Linked DNA regions of Coturnix japonica. Each later gene encodes a partner of the first gene's protein in a complex. Links are inferred from orthologs where the notes say so. Each region holds a gene or a part of one and is shown on either strand. Other genes may lie near its edges.

The links.
Region 2: HERPUD1 (region 1) and UBE2J1 share a complex: the UniProt entries of both Homo sapiens proteins name them as parts of the HRD1 complex. The link is inferred for Coturnix japonica from reciprocal best matches to the Homo sapiens genes HERPUD1 and UBE2J1.
Region 3: HERPUD1 (region 1) and FAM8A1 share a complex: the UniProt entries of both Homo sapiens proteins name them as parts of the HRD1 complex. The link is inferred for Coturnix japonica from reciprocal best matches to the Homo sapiens genes HERPUD1 and FAM8A1.

The regions. Positions count from the first base shown.
Region 1 is NC_029526.1:1,860,812-1,864,857, forward strand, and holds the start of HERPUD1 (homocysteine-responsive endoplasmic reticulum-resident ubiquitin-like domain member 1 protein), read right to left. Parts: upstream 2,817-4,046; 5' UTR 2,782-2,816; coding exon 2,644-2,781; intron 2,492-2,643; coding exon 2,414-2,491; intron 2,338-2,413; coding exon 2,263-2,337; intron 1,349-2,262; coding exon 1,224-1,348; intron 916-1,223; coding exon 793-915; intron 299-792; coding exon 1-298. Other genes in the region: partitioning defective 6 homolog alpha-like, read left to right, coding at 3,877-3,993. UniProt on the Homo sapiens protein: Component of the endoplasmic reticulum quality control (ERQC) system also called ER-associated degradation (ERAD) involved in ubiquitin-dependent degradation of misfolded endoplasmic reticulum proteins.
Region 2 is NC_029518.1:68,946,949-68,951,181, forward strand, and holds the start of UBE2J1 (ubiquitin-conjugating enzyme E2 J1), read left to right. Parts: upstream 1-1,421; 5' UTR 1,422-1,574; coding exon 1,575-1,605; intron 1,606-1,973; exon of another isoform or gene 1,974-2,187; intron 2,188-4,233. UniProt on the Homo sapiens protein: Catalyzes the covalent attachment of ubiquitin to other proteins. Functions in the selective degradation of misfolded membrane proteins from the endoplasmic reticulum (ERAD) and is essential for cells to recover from ER stress.
Region 3 is NC_029517.1:66,993,115-66,996,733, reverse strand, and holds the end of FAM8A1 (protein FAM8A1), read left to right. Parts: intron 1-1,243; coding exon 1,244-1,367; intron 1,368-1,577; coding exon 1,578-1,717; intron 1,718-1,987; coding exon 1,988-2,132; 3' UTR 2,133-3,104; downstream 3,105-3,619. UniProt on the Homo sapiens protein: Plays a role in the assembly of the HRD1 complex, a complex involved in the ubiquitin-proteasome-dependent process of ER-associated degradation (ERAD).

The DNA.
Region 1 (4,046 bases):
GCTGACACTGGAGTAGAAATAAACGATGTTGACAAAAACATAGAACAGCGTTGCAGAGTAGAGCCAGTCCAGCCAGTCTCGATTGCCACCTTCCTCCTCTTCCCCCATGAGAGGACCCCCCTGGGCGTTCATCCTTAAGTTCTGGTTGGCCACCACGTTGGCTTGAGGAGCAGCATTCTGGTCCCCAGGTTGGTTTTGTGCAGGAAATGGGTCTGGGACAGGAGCTGGGGGTGTCACTGGGATCTCCTGAGAACGCCGTGTGGAGGTCGGGTCAGTAGATGCAGCAGTAGAAGCCAAGCTGCAAAGCAGAGAAATGCTGTGTAAACCTTTTAAAGCTGAGCAGACACTGAGAACTTGGCCACCTCAGTAGTTCAGAACCACCAATCAGATCACATACAACTTAAGAAAAGGCTGAGCTTCACAATGGCCCAAAGCAAGCTCTGGCTCTGCCTGTGGTAACTTCCATGACTTCCAAGTCAAACTACACACCTTCCCATTAGTAATAACTTCACAACAAGTTGCTCTGATCAATCTGAATGTGCTCTGGAAGGCTGCTACAGCTCTTGGCTTTAACTCTGTGACCAGTTTCCCATCTGTGGGTAACTTTAAGCAGTCAAAGAACACTGTAAGGAGCTAACATCACAGCAGAAGTAAATTCCCTGCAGAAAAGCAGAGTACAACAGTGGAGCACTAAATCCTCTGACTGCATCATAAGAAAACTAGCAGTCCTTCATCTTCTGCATTTCCTTCTATTAGTTCCTACCATCCCCTAGCAGCTTCAGGAAGACTTACTATTGCATGTAGTATTGCCTTGCATAGATGTGTTGAAGCCAGGACATCTGAAGCAGGCTGTAGGTTGTGTACAGAGAAAACCCAGGAGGCACCGCTTGGAAACCATGCCGAGGTGTTTCAGGCCTGTGGAAAATTTAAATGACGTGTGTTAAATACCAGAAAAGCCACAAGAGCCATTAATTGCAGGACATCAGATGGCCTCTGCTATTTCCTGCACTGAAACAAGAATTCTCCCCTCAAGTACTAAAAACATCTCTCCCCCAAAGGATAAAAGCAAGATTTGCCATTATAACAGTGTCACATTAACTGGATTTTATACATCCTTAGCACCTCCGGCCTGTTCTGCACTGCACAGGACTTAATGCACATACTAGGCCTGGCATCCAACAGTCTGCCCAAGCAGGCCTATGAGGATCAAGTAATGGACTTACCTGGCACCAGCTTCTGCTGCTGCTGCCTGACCACCAGGAGAGCATCCCAGCCGTCCACCATCTGAAGCAGCAGCAGCTGGTTCTTGATTAGCTTCTGTCGTCAGCTTTGGCTGAGCAGCTTTAACCTGTAGGGAAACCATAACTACCTGAGGGGCTGTTCAGAACACCATGCAAATCTCAAACTATTTCAGCACACAGTTCTTATTTTAGAGAAACTGTTTCACATCTCACAAGGATCCTGCAGGTGCCACAGTACTGTCCCTGCACTTAATCCTGTGCTACAAAGCACCTCCATCTCTATTTTAGAGCCCCTTAATAGTGACTCGTACATACAACACCATATGTGACAGGCATTTCATGGCTTCACCCCCATTCAGGTCCCATCTGGTTACGGAAGAACAACTTGAAAAAGAACTAAGGGATCTGTGCTCGAGACAAACCAACTTATCAACTACCATGACTAGTGCATGCACACCCATCTGCAGTACACAGACATAAATCAAGAGCTGCTCTGGGGCGATACAGCTGCATAGTACTCAGAGGGTGACTCATATCTGGCAACACACATAGGAAAAGCTCAAATTGCTCAGTCCAGACAGCACAAACACCTCTACAAACGTCACTACGTATACTACAAGTGAGTTTGGACAGTGACACTTCAGTAAGTCATGAGAGCAGCCACCTAACTTCCCCTCTGCCAGCTGAGTAACACATCTTCCTTTACATCTCTTCTTCCACACACAGCAATGAGAGCTGCCCCAACTGACTGCATAACCCTCTGTATGGGAGAGCCTTGCTATGACAGGCCTTATATCATTAAGCAGGCCAGGCAGCAGCGCTCCCCCAGGCAGCACACTACAACTACGCTATACCTTTGATACTTCCCAACAGGTGCCATCCAGATCTGTACTGGACAAGGCAGCAGCTGCTTCTGAGCTTAATTTAACTACATTGTCACAGGGTAAACACCAAGAGTATCACAGCATGAACAGGAAACACCTGCAGCACTGAAAGCAGTGCCATAACTCAGTGTAAATACCTCCGTGCTGCTCTCCGGTACATCTACAGGCGCCCTCACGTTGTAGACCAGGTGCAGAGCGTGCAGCTCCTCCTGCTGAGAGACACAGGACACATGAGAGAAGCCCCCCCATATTGGAGCGCTTCAGCACAGGATGGAGCATTGATCCTACCCCGGGCAGGAACTCCTGCAGGAGCTGATGGTCCAGCAGCAGCTTCCCGCAGTAGATCAACTTCTGCTCGTCCTCAGCCTAAAGAAAACACAGAGAAAGGAATGACCCCCACCTCAGAGCACATACAGCCGCTATAGGCCCCATGCAGCTCCTTGCTCCCAAGGTCTCACGGTGCCGCAACCTCCCCCAGGCGTTGCGTCATCCCGCCCCCCCCACCCCGCACTCCTTACGGGCTCCCCGGGTGCCCTGCGGCGCAGCTCGGCCTTCAGGCGCCTCACAGTCCACGCGGGCGCTGCGCGGAGCCGCATGTCGGGGTGTCGCCGCGCGGGGCTGCGCACCAACAGCGACACGCTCAGCTCCTCCGCCATGGCGCGTGTGTGGCGGCCCCCCGCCTCCGCCCTTTATATAGCTTCCTTCCAAGCCCCGCCCACTTCCGCCCCGCCCGACCGCAGAGGCGCGGTGGCTGCATGCGATTGGCTGAGAGGGAGGAGGGGGCGGACACGTGGGCCAATGGGAAGCAGCCTCGCGTGCAGGAACGAGGAGGGGCGGCGGGTGTTCGGCGCCGCTTCGCCATAGTAACCGGGACAGCGCCGGACAGCGGAGCGCAGTGGGAGCAATGAAGGCCGCGGTGCAACACCGGGACCCGGGTTCGAATCCCCCTGTGGCGCAAGTGGTAGAAGTGCCGCTCTGCTACACAGAGCCTCGAATCCCGGGTGCTGGACTCCATGATCTCTAAGGTCCCTTCCAACCCGCACCAGACTGTGATACTGTGATACTGTGATGATATGATACCCTCGGGCCGGGCTCTGAACCGGGCCGCGGTGACATGGCGGTGACATGGCGGTGACATGGCGGTGACATGGCGGTGACATGGCGGTGACATGGCGGTGACATGGCGGTGCTTTGGTGCTGTGTCCAGCTCCACACCCTGCAGCGCGGCTTCCTCGGGCCCAAAGCGGTGACCATGGGGTGGCCGCAGTCTCGGTGCTGCGCAGCTCAGTGCGCTGAGCACAGGGTGCAGCTCAGAGCAGGAACCGAGCCCGGCAATGAGCCCGGTGCATTGGACCCGAGGTGCCGGGCTCCCGGTGCCCTCTGTCCGTGTTACCTGCGTCAGCGCTGACCCCGCTGTCAGCGGGATTATGTGTCTGACCTCATTGCGCTGACCCGTTAACCCCGGGGCAGCACGGCTCTGCTCCCCGTGTGCTGCTGGGCACAGCACCGGGAGCGTCAGGCAGCGCTGGGGGCAGGCTGCCCATGCTCGGCTCTCACAGCCGTATCGTCTGTTTTATTGCCGGTCCCACCGCTGTGTCCGTGACCCCGCACTCCCGGGGTCCCCCCGCTCCCGGTCCCTCCCCCGTTGCTACAGCGACGTTGTCATCGCGCTCCTCCCGCCCCACGGCCCCGCCCCCGAGCCCCGCCTCGACCAATGGCAGCGCGCCGCCAGGCCGGGCCGCGGTGACGTCATGGCCGGTGAAAATCCCCCGTGGCCGCGGGAGCGACGGGGCGGCGCGGGCAGCATGGCCAGACTGCAGCGGGCACCGGGCGGGGCCGGGGGGACCGTCATCGAGGTCAAGAGCAAGGTAAGAGACCGTGACGTGACGGTACCGGTACCGGTACCGGTGCTGATGGTGCC
Region 2 (4,233 bases), on another chromosome or scaffold:
GATTTCTGTCCGTGCACACATTACAACACTGCCTCGCAGGCATCGGTGGTTTCACAGCTGAGTCACCTGGCAGCGTTCGTTGTCTGTAGCCTCAACTGTCAGTCAGGCAATGAGTCTGAAAATAAAAGCAGTCACTTACTGCTAGCTCTGCGCAATTGCTTGTGGTTATCCAGCACCAATACAGGCCACGACATAGCTGAATTAAATAGAGAAAACATTACGTCCCTTCAGTGGATTTCTGTTTCTTAGCATTTATGTCTATTCAGCTTATTTTCAGTAGTGTTTAGCTGCTATGGCCTGGAGCATCTTCCCTATGAGGAGAGACTAAGTGAACTGGGTCTGTTTAGCCTTGAGAAAAGAAGGCTGAGAGGGGACTTGATCCAGGTTTATAAGTACCTGAGGTGTGGGAGCCATAGTGGTGAGGCTGGTCTCTTTTCAGTAGTGCGTGGGGACAGGACTAGGGGTAATGGGATGAAAGTACAGCATAGGAAGTTCTGCACGAATGTGCAGCAAAAGCTCTTTACGGTGAGGGTGACGGAGCACTGGAACAGGCTGCCCAGGGAGGTGGTGGAGTCTCCTTCTCCTGGAGATATTCAAGACCCATCTGGATGCCTACCTGTGTGACATGGTGGAGCCTGCTTTGGCAGGGGGGTTGGACTCGATGATCTCTAGAGGTCCCTTCCAGCCCCTACAATTCTGTGATATATATTTAGTTAAAAACCCCAGTTTCATGTCAGTTACAGGTGCTTCCTCTTTGAGTTGTATAAAATGTAAATGCACCAGCTTCAAAACCAGAGCCCAGAAGAGAATGCTGAACTCTGTACTGCTCCGGTTCATAATAAATCTCACTCTTCTCAACTTACTGCCATTATTCCAATGATCATACTGTTGAGATACCTTCTATCAAAGTATATCCCAGATGTGTTTCTTTTTAACACAGAATTCTATAGTTCTGACTGTGAAATGCTACTGTGCTCCTTCAGGGCAGGACAAGATTTAGTCAGATCCCAGAGCCCTTCTCCCATTGCATAGCAAGGTGGCTCCGGCAAAAGGGAATCTGAGAGCAGAAAGAGGGAGCAGAGAGCAGTCCATCCCCAGGCCTAGTGTGTTCAGTATGACATCACTGCCATCCACGTACACTGGGAATGGTGGGTGGCCACACCGACCTGAAAGGGTAGTCAGGCATTGGGATGCACTGCCCAGGGAGGTGGTGGAGTCACCGACCATGGGAGTGTTCAAGAAACGTATGGATGTGGTGTTGATGAATATGATTTAGCTGGGAAGTATTGGTAATGGTTGGACTAGATGATCTTCTAGGTCTTTTCCAACCTTGATAATTCCGTGATTCTGTAATTCTGTGACCTTCGGCTCAGGCCTCGCGCAGCCAAGAGCCGCTCAGCCCGTCCCCGCTCGCGGGGCGGCTCTGGGGGCGGTGCCTGTCCGGCCGGTGCCTCCCTCCGCCACGTCAGGGGAGTTTCCCGAGGCGGGCCGGGCCGTGCCGTGCCTTCTTCCTGCTCGTTTTCCCCCGGCCCCCGCTACCGGAGACGCTGTGGAGGAAGAGCGTGCCGGCTGTCATGGAGGCCCGCTACAATCTCAAGAGCCCGGGTAGGACGCGGCAGGCCGCCTTCGGGCCGCGGGCTCGGCGGGCGGGCTCGGGGCCGGGCCGGACTGGGGAGGCCGAGAGCTCGCTCGACAAAGGGCAGAGCTGCGGCCCGGCCTCGGCTCCACAGGGGGACGAAGGCCGCCGTGGGAGGGAGGAGAGCGGGCGGGTTGGGGCCGTGCTGCTGATGCCGGCTGTGCAGGGCTGGTCGGCCCGCGGTGCTTGGAGGCGTTGGATGCCTCCTGGAGTGGAGCACGAGTATCTCGGGGCGCTGCCGTGTGTGTGTGTCCACGCCTTTTTATGCTTGTCGTGGTTAGTACGTTGGAACTGCTGCCTGCTGCTGTGCGAACGTGGCTGTGCCCGTGCTACCAGCTGTTCGTTGGCTCCTCGGGCCTGCGCGAGGGGAGGGTCAGGCACTGACGTTGGCCGAGCCTGTGCATTGAAGCTTTTTCCTAAGCTGTTGTAGTGTTTTTATGTGCTGCACCTACATGTGTGTGTATACGTGTGTTTGAGGGGTTCTGCAATACAATTCATGTGTTGACAGCACTAGGCAGTATTTTGAGTCCTTAAGCGAGGAGTGTGCTCAGGTGAGTCACGATACAACACAGTAGGAAGGAGTCTGGGGCTGATAATAGCAGGACAAGGGGAAGTGGATTTAAGTTGAAAGAGGGAAGATTTAGGTTGGATGTTAGGGGGAAGTTCTTCACTAGGAAAGTGGTTAGGTCCTGGAACAGGCTGCCCAGGAAGGTTGCGGATGCCCCGTCCTTGGAGGTGTTCAAGGCCAGGTTGGACGGGGCCCTGGGCAACCTGATCTAGTAAAGGTGTATGTTTGGTGGCCCTGCCAGGCAGGTGGGTTGGAACTACATGATCCTTGAGGTCCCTTCCAACTCGGGTCATTCTGTGATTCTATGTCCTGAGAAACAGCACAGAAAGGGCAGAGGGGGCTCCTTTTCCAGCAAGGGCCCCGAGGCCAGGTGGGCTCCCTCCTGCAGGGCCACACTGGGGCAGTGACCTGTCCGTGGCTGTGTGCCTCTGTGGCTTCTTAAGCAGAGCTTTGGGGATTGTGAGGGCTGGGAGCCTTTCTGTGTCAGTTGCCCTGCCCTGTTGCCCCAGCCCACCTTTGGGCAGCAGGTGTTATCAGCTTCCTGTTGCTGTTGATGAATACTGTTCTATTGCCAGCATGGGAGGTGGGGAGAAACTTAGCATCGAGATGACTTGTGCTTTGCAAATGCAAATGACAGGCTTGTTCACAAAGCATGCCTCGTGTTTATTGCTAAATTATGTTTTCTTTTCTCTCATTGCTCCTCACGCCCAACTTACATAACTGAATAATGAGAAGCACAAAGCAAATGATGTGCTTATTCTATTATAAAATACCAGGAAGGCAGATTTTGGGGGGGGTTGCTTTTTAAGTCTCTGATATGCCGCACATGTGAGCTTCAAGGGCAGGCAAATACACTCACCAGTTCAGGTTTGCCACGTCACTGAAAGCAGTGGTGGTGATGTACCTTGGGATCGTGGCAAATATTTGTGGTTTCATTTAGAAGCATTTGTCCGCTCTGTTGTTACCAGCTTCTCTTATTTTCAAGTGAAAATTCTCTTTACTTACTTGATTTTTTGCCACCTGTGCTGTTGTATTGCAAAACGAACCTCTTTCAGGAAAAATAAATGACTCATACAGTGGGTCGGTGTTGCTTCCCCAGATCAAGCGTGGTCTATAGCATATGGCTGGTGAAAGTCTGGGAAAGTCTGGTAAAGATTTGCTTTTTCAGAAGCCACACTAAATCTTCCTATGAAATTATGAGCAGAAGATATTAAATACCAAAAAGAAATTTCAAGTAAATACTGTTTCTTCAACTATCTTGGTCAACCCCGGGTGATGCTACAGACTTGGGGCAGAGTGACTGGGGAAGACTTTGTAGAGGAAAACAGATCTGGGTGTATTGGTTGATGCTTGGCTGAACACGAGCCAGCAGTGTGCCCAGGTGGCCAAGAAGTCCAATGGCATCCTGGCTTGCATCAGAAATAGTGTTGCCAGCAGGAGCAGGGAAGTGATCATCCCTCTGTACTCAGCTCTGGTGAGGCTGCACCTCGAGTACTGCGTTCAGTTTTTGTCTCTTCCCTGCTAAGAAAGACACCGAGGCCTGAAGAGTGTTTGGAGGAGGGCAGCAAAGCTGTGAGGGCTCTGAAGCACACATGGGGAGTGGCTGAGGGAACTGGGATTGTTTCCTCTGGAGGAGGCTCAGGGGGGGACTTTATCACTCTCTAGAACTACCCAAAGGAACATGGGTGTCAGCCTGTTCTCTTGTGTGCCTGGTGATGGAACAAAAGGGAATGGCCTCAAGTTGCACCAGGGGAAATTCAGGTTGAATATTAGGAAAAATTTACTCTCTGAGAGGGTGATCAGTCACTGCCCAGGGAGGTGGTAGAGTCACCATCCCTGGGGGTGTTTAAGAAGCATTTAGATGTGTGCTCTGGGACATGGTTTAGTGGGAGATGTTGGTGATAGGTGGAAGGTTAGACTGGGTGATCTTAGAGGTTGAAAAAATTTCCCACTCTGTGCTTCAGGCTTCTTTGTATTGCCTCAATAAGGCAAAGCCTCTTCAGCTTTTGCTTCATATTTTTATTTCCGT
Region 3 (3,619 bases), on another chromosome or scaffold:
TAACCTGGCAGCTTGTATTTCTACCTCAGTTTTGTAGGCCAAAAATGATACAGAAGATACGGGAAAGCTGGAGAACAGCTTTATGTGTATCACTTCTGCAAAAATGGTGATTGAAAGAGAATCTTTTTGAGTTACTGTACAGTATATTCGATATTGCTGCTCTTGCAAGAGCCACAAAGTTGCTTACGAGTAGCTTCAGAAACTATTTTTTTCCCCCTGGTGAGCTGTGTGCTGGAGGCCAGGCTGAGCTGTCACGTAAGGCACATCCTCACTGAAGACAAAGACTTCAGGCCAGCTTTGTACTAAAGGGAAGAGCAGATTGTGCTGTACTACCATTCTCTCAATTCCTATCTTTTTTGATCCTGAACAGAGAGGAGAGCGAGTGGTGCGTGCGTGGCTTGTTTTCACGAGGCCCACACCTTTCTATTTAAATAGAAATTATAACTGAGATGGCTCACGGAAAAGTCATCTCCTAAGTACACGTTGCAAGTGCGCCCATTCCACTTATCAGATGTCACATCTGTGGTTTGACTTGTGAAGATACACAGCTGATTCTGAGCTGCAGCTTTGCATTGCTTTGTTAGGGGAGATGGCTGAGAGTTTCAACTGTTTGGTTGAAAGCATTTTGGAACTGCTGAGAAGGCAAACCCTGCTCATGCAAAGGGGGTAAAGTCTCCTTTGCTTGTCTGGTGACTTGCAAACTGCTTTGCAGTTATAAGAGAGCAATGCATTGAGTTCCCATCTCCCTCACCCTGTAATGAAGATAGTTGTATCCATGTGTGTAAGTAGATGATTGTGGAATCCCTTGTGCATCTCTCAAGAATGAGAATGTTCCTAACGATTCTGCAGCTCACTCCATAGACTGTCATGTTGCAAATGTGCTCACAATGCATTTTTTCATAACGAAAAACTGAACAGCAACTTGGAAGGAAACCTCACAGAATCACAGATCACAGAATCACAGAATGACCCGGGTTGGAAGGGACCTCAAGGATCATGTAGTTCCAACCCCCCTGCCTGGCAGGGCCACCAAACATACACATTTACTACATCAGGTTGCCCAGGGCCCCGTCCAACCTGGTCTTGAACACCTCCCAGTGTTAGGAATTGTATTGGGTGGCTCAATGTCACAGAAGCTGAAGAGAATTCCAGCACTAGGAGGGACAAATGAGTTCTGGATGTTGTGTCGTGTTTGGTTTTTTGCTTTGTGGGTTGTTTTTTAAAGTTGTCTTATTTTCAACAGAGACATCTCTAAATTTGCTATGCATTACATAATAGAGGAAATAGATGAAGATACATCCATGGAAGACTTGCAGAAAATGATGATAGTGGCTCTCATCTACAGGTTATTAGTCTGCTTCTACGAGGTAACTACTCCTGCATTTTAACTGCTGTAGTTCATAGTTATCAGTTCTCGGATAAACAACAAAGTATCATCAGTGGCCAATGAAGTAAAGCCCTCTTTACTTGGAGTTCTGTGAAGCTGTGGGCCTCACTTATTTTTGAAGAAAGCCATGTTTGCCATACTAGTCAATAACACTGCTCTGTGTGGAACTGAAGTAAGTTTTCTTTCGCAGATCATCTGTATTTGGGGAGCAGGAGGAGCAACCCCAGGGAAGTTCTTGCTCGGGCTGCGAGTTGTGACGTGTGATACGTCTGTCCTCGTTGCACCCAGCCGTGTGTTAGTCATTCCGTCTTCTAATGTCAGTATGACAACGTAAGTGCTCTTAGCTTACCTTGCTTTTGTATTAATGGGATGGAAAATGTGGTTTGGAAGGAAATGCACCTTTCCTTTATTGTTGGCCTTTGCCGGCATTGGATTGCCAAGAAGTATTCTCAGGTTCTTTCAATATAACAGTTAATTAGTTGTGAATATTTTCCAGGTTAGGTGGTAAGATAATCTCTAAACTCTGGAGGTTGTTGGCTTTGGGGAAAGCAGGGAAGTTGACAATAAAGAAGGCACTGAATGCTTTTATTCTCCTTTCAGGTCTACAATAAGAGCCTTGATCAAGAATTTTTCCATCGCTTCATTTTTTCCTGCGTTCATTACGCTGCTGTTTTTTCAGCACAACAGAACAGCCTACGATATCGTAGCAGGAACTATTGTGGTAAGAAGAAATGGAATCAGATGATAGCAAAAGATGACAGACTCCCAGACTGTTTTTTGAATACCGTTCCCAAATGAACAAAAACCCACCCCAAAACCGAGATGACCATCCGAATCTTTAGCCCAAATGAAAGCAGAACGATTCCCAAGCTAAAGGAAATGGGGTTGCTCCAGTGTGGTGCCAGCAGCTACCTTCAAAGTATTGGAATTCTCACAAATGCCAAAGAATTTTGAGAGAAACGATATTAACCGTAGCTTGAAAACAAGCGGCTGTGTGTTAATAACTGCAGAACGGTGCTGTTCTGTTCGTCATCCTGTGGGGAAAGCGGATACTGAGAAATACTCCATCCACCTCTAAAGAAAAGCTTTGGGTGCTGGAGGTAACTAACTAGAAAATCATGTTTTCCAAGCAGTTGCCTGAGTTGTGTTGCTGGCTCCTTGAGGGGAAGGGAACTGCAGTATTGGAGAGTAAGGTGCGTTCAGTGAGTTACAGTGACAGATGCACAGAAAGAAAGTGGTGTTTATCGCTTCCTTTCTGACTGCTTCACAGATCGTATTCCCTCACCTCTTCAAAGTATTTTATCTGGATATTGATGTGACGGGTTTTATTGCATGATTAAGTATTGTCATTTATTTCACGTGTCAAAGCTAATAATGAGGTGAAATGGTGGCTGCTTTTTCTCTGGAAAGGGCATGTTACACCACAGTGTTAGTCAATTGCCATGTACATCATTTTGGAGCTGTGAACAGCACACATCATTTGCTTCTCTCTGCAGTGAAAGCACTTGTCTATTTCTTGCATATAATATCAAGCAGAACATCTGAATGAGTTTCCAAGAGCATGCAGAAACTATTAACTGAAACATGTGTTATGGGTGTAAGTCTATATAGAAGTACAACTAGTACTTGTTTTCACTTTATCTTCTGGCTAACTGTTTGTATATTCAGAATAACTTAAATACTGAATAAAAAAAGCCTAATATTTTGCATGATTATACACAGCTTTGATTTTTGTTCTTATGGCGTTAGTATCTTGGAGAAAGGGCTTTAATAATGTTAATACTGTGAGTTAGTTTAGTTCGACAAGAGCTGCTATTTTGTTCATGAAGAGAGCTTGCTGCATGTATTTTCTGATCTTTGTTCACTATCTTCTTTCTGGGACCAGAGTCATTACTCACCTTTCCAGAACGAAGTCACTTACCCTTTTTGGCTAATGACTTTCAGATACTCTGCTATAAGCAGTCAGTTGTCTTACCTAGAAACCCAACTTCCAAGTGCATCATCAGAAAATACATATGTACCAAGATGCAAAGAACAGCACTGCTGATCTGAGCATTACGAGCTGAGGAAGGGCTGTCTAAGCTGACAGAAGCTGAAGTTGTTAGAACTGACAAAAGCCATTCTGGGTTGGGTATTGCCTATTTAGATTTTCACCATGAATACAACTAGAACTTTTGTTCTATCTAGAAACTGGGATTCAAGATGGAGGCAGGTAGCACCACAGCTGGGTAC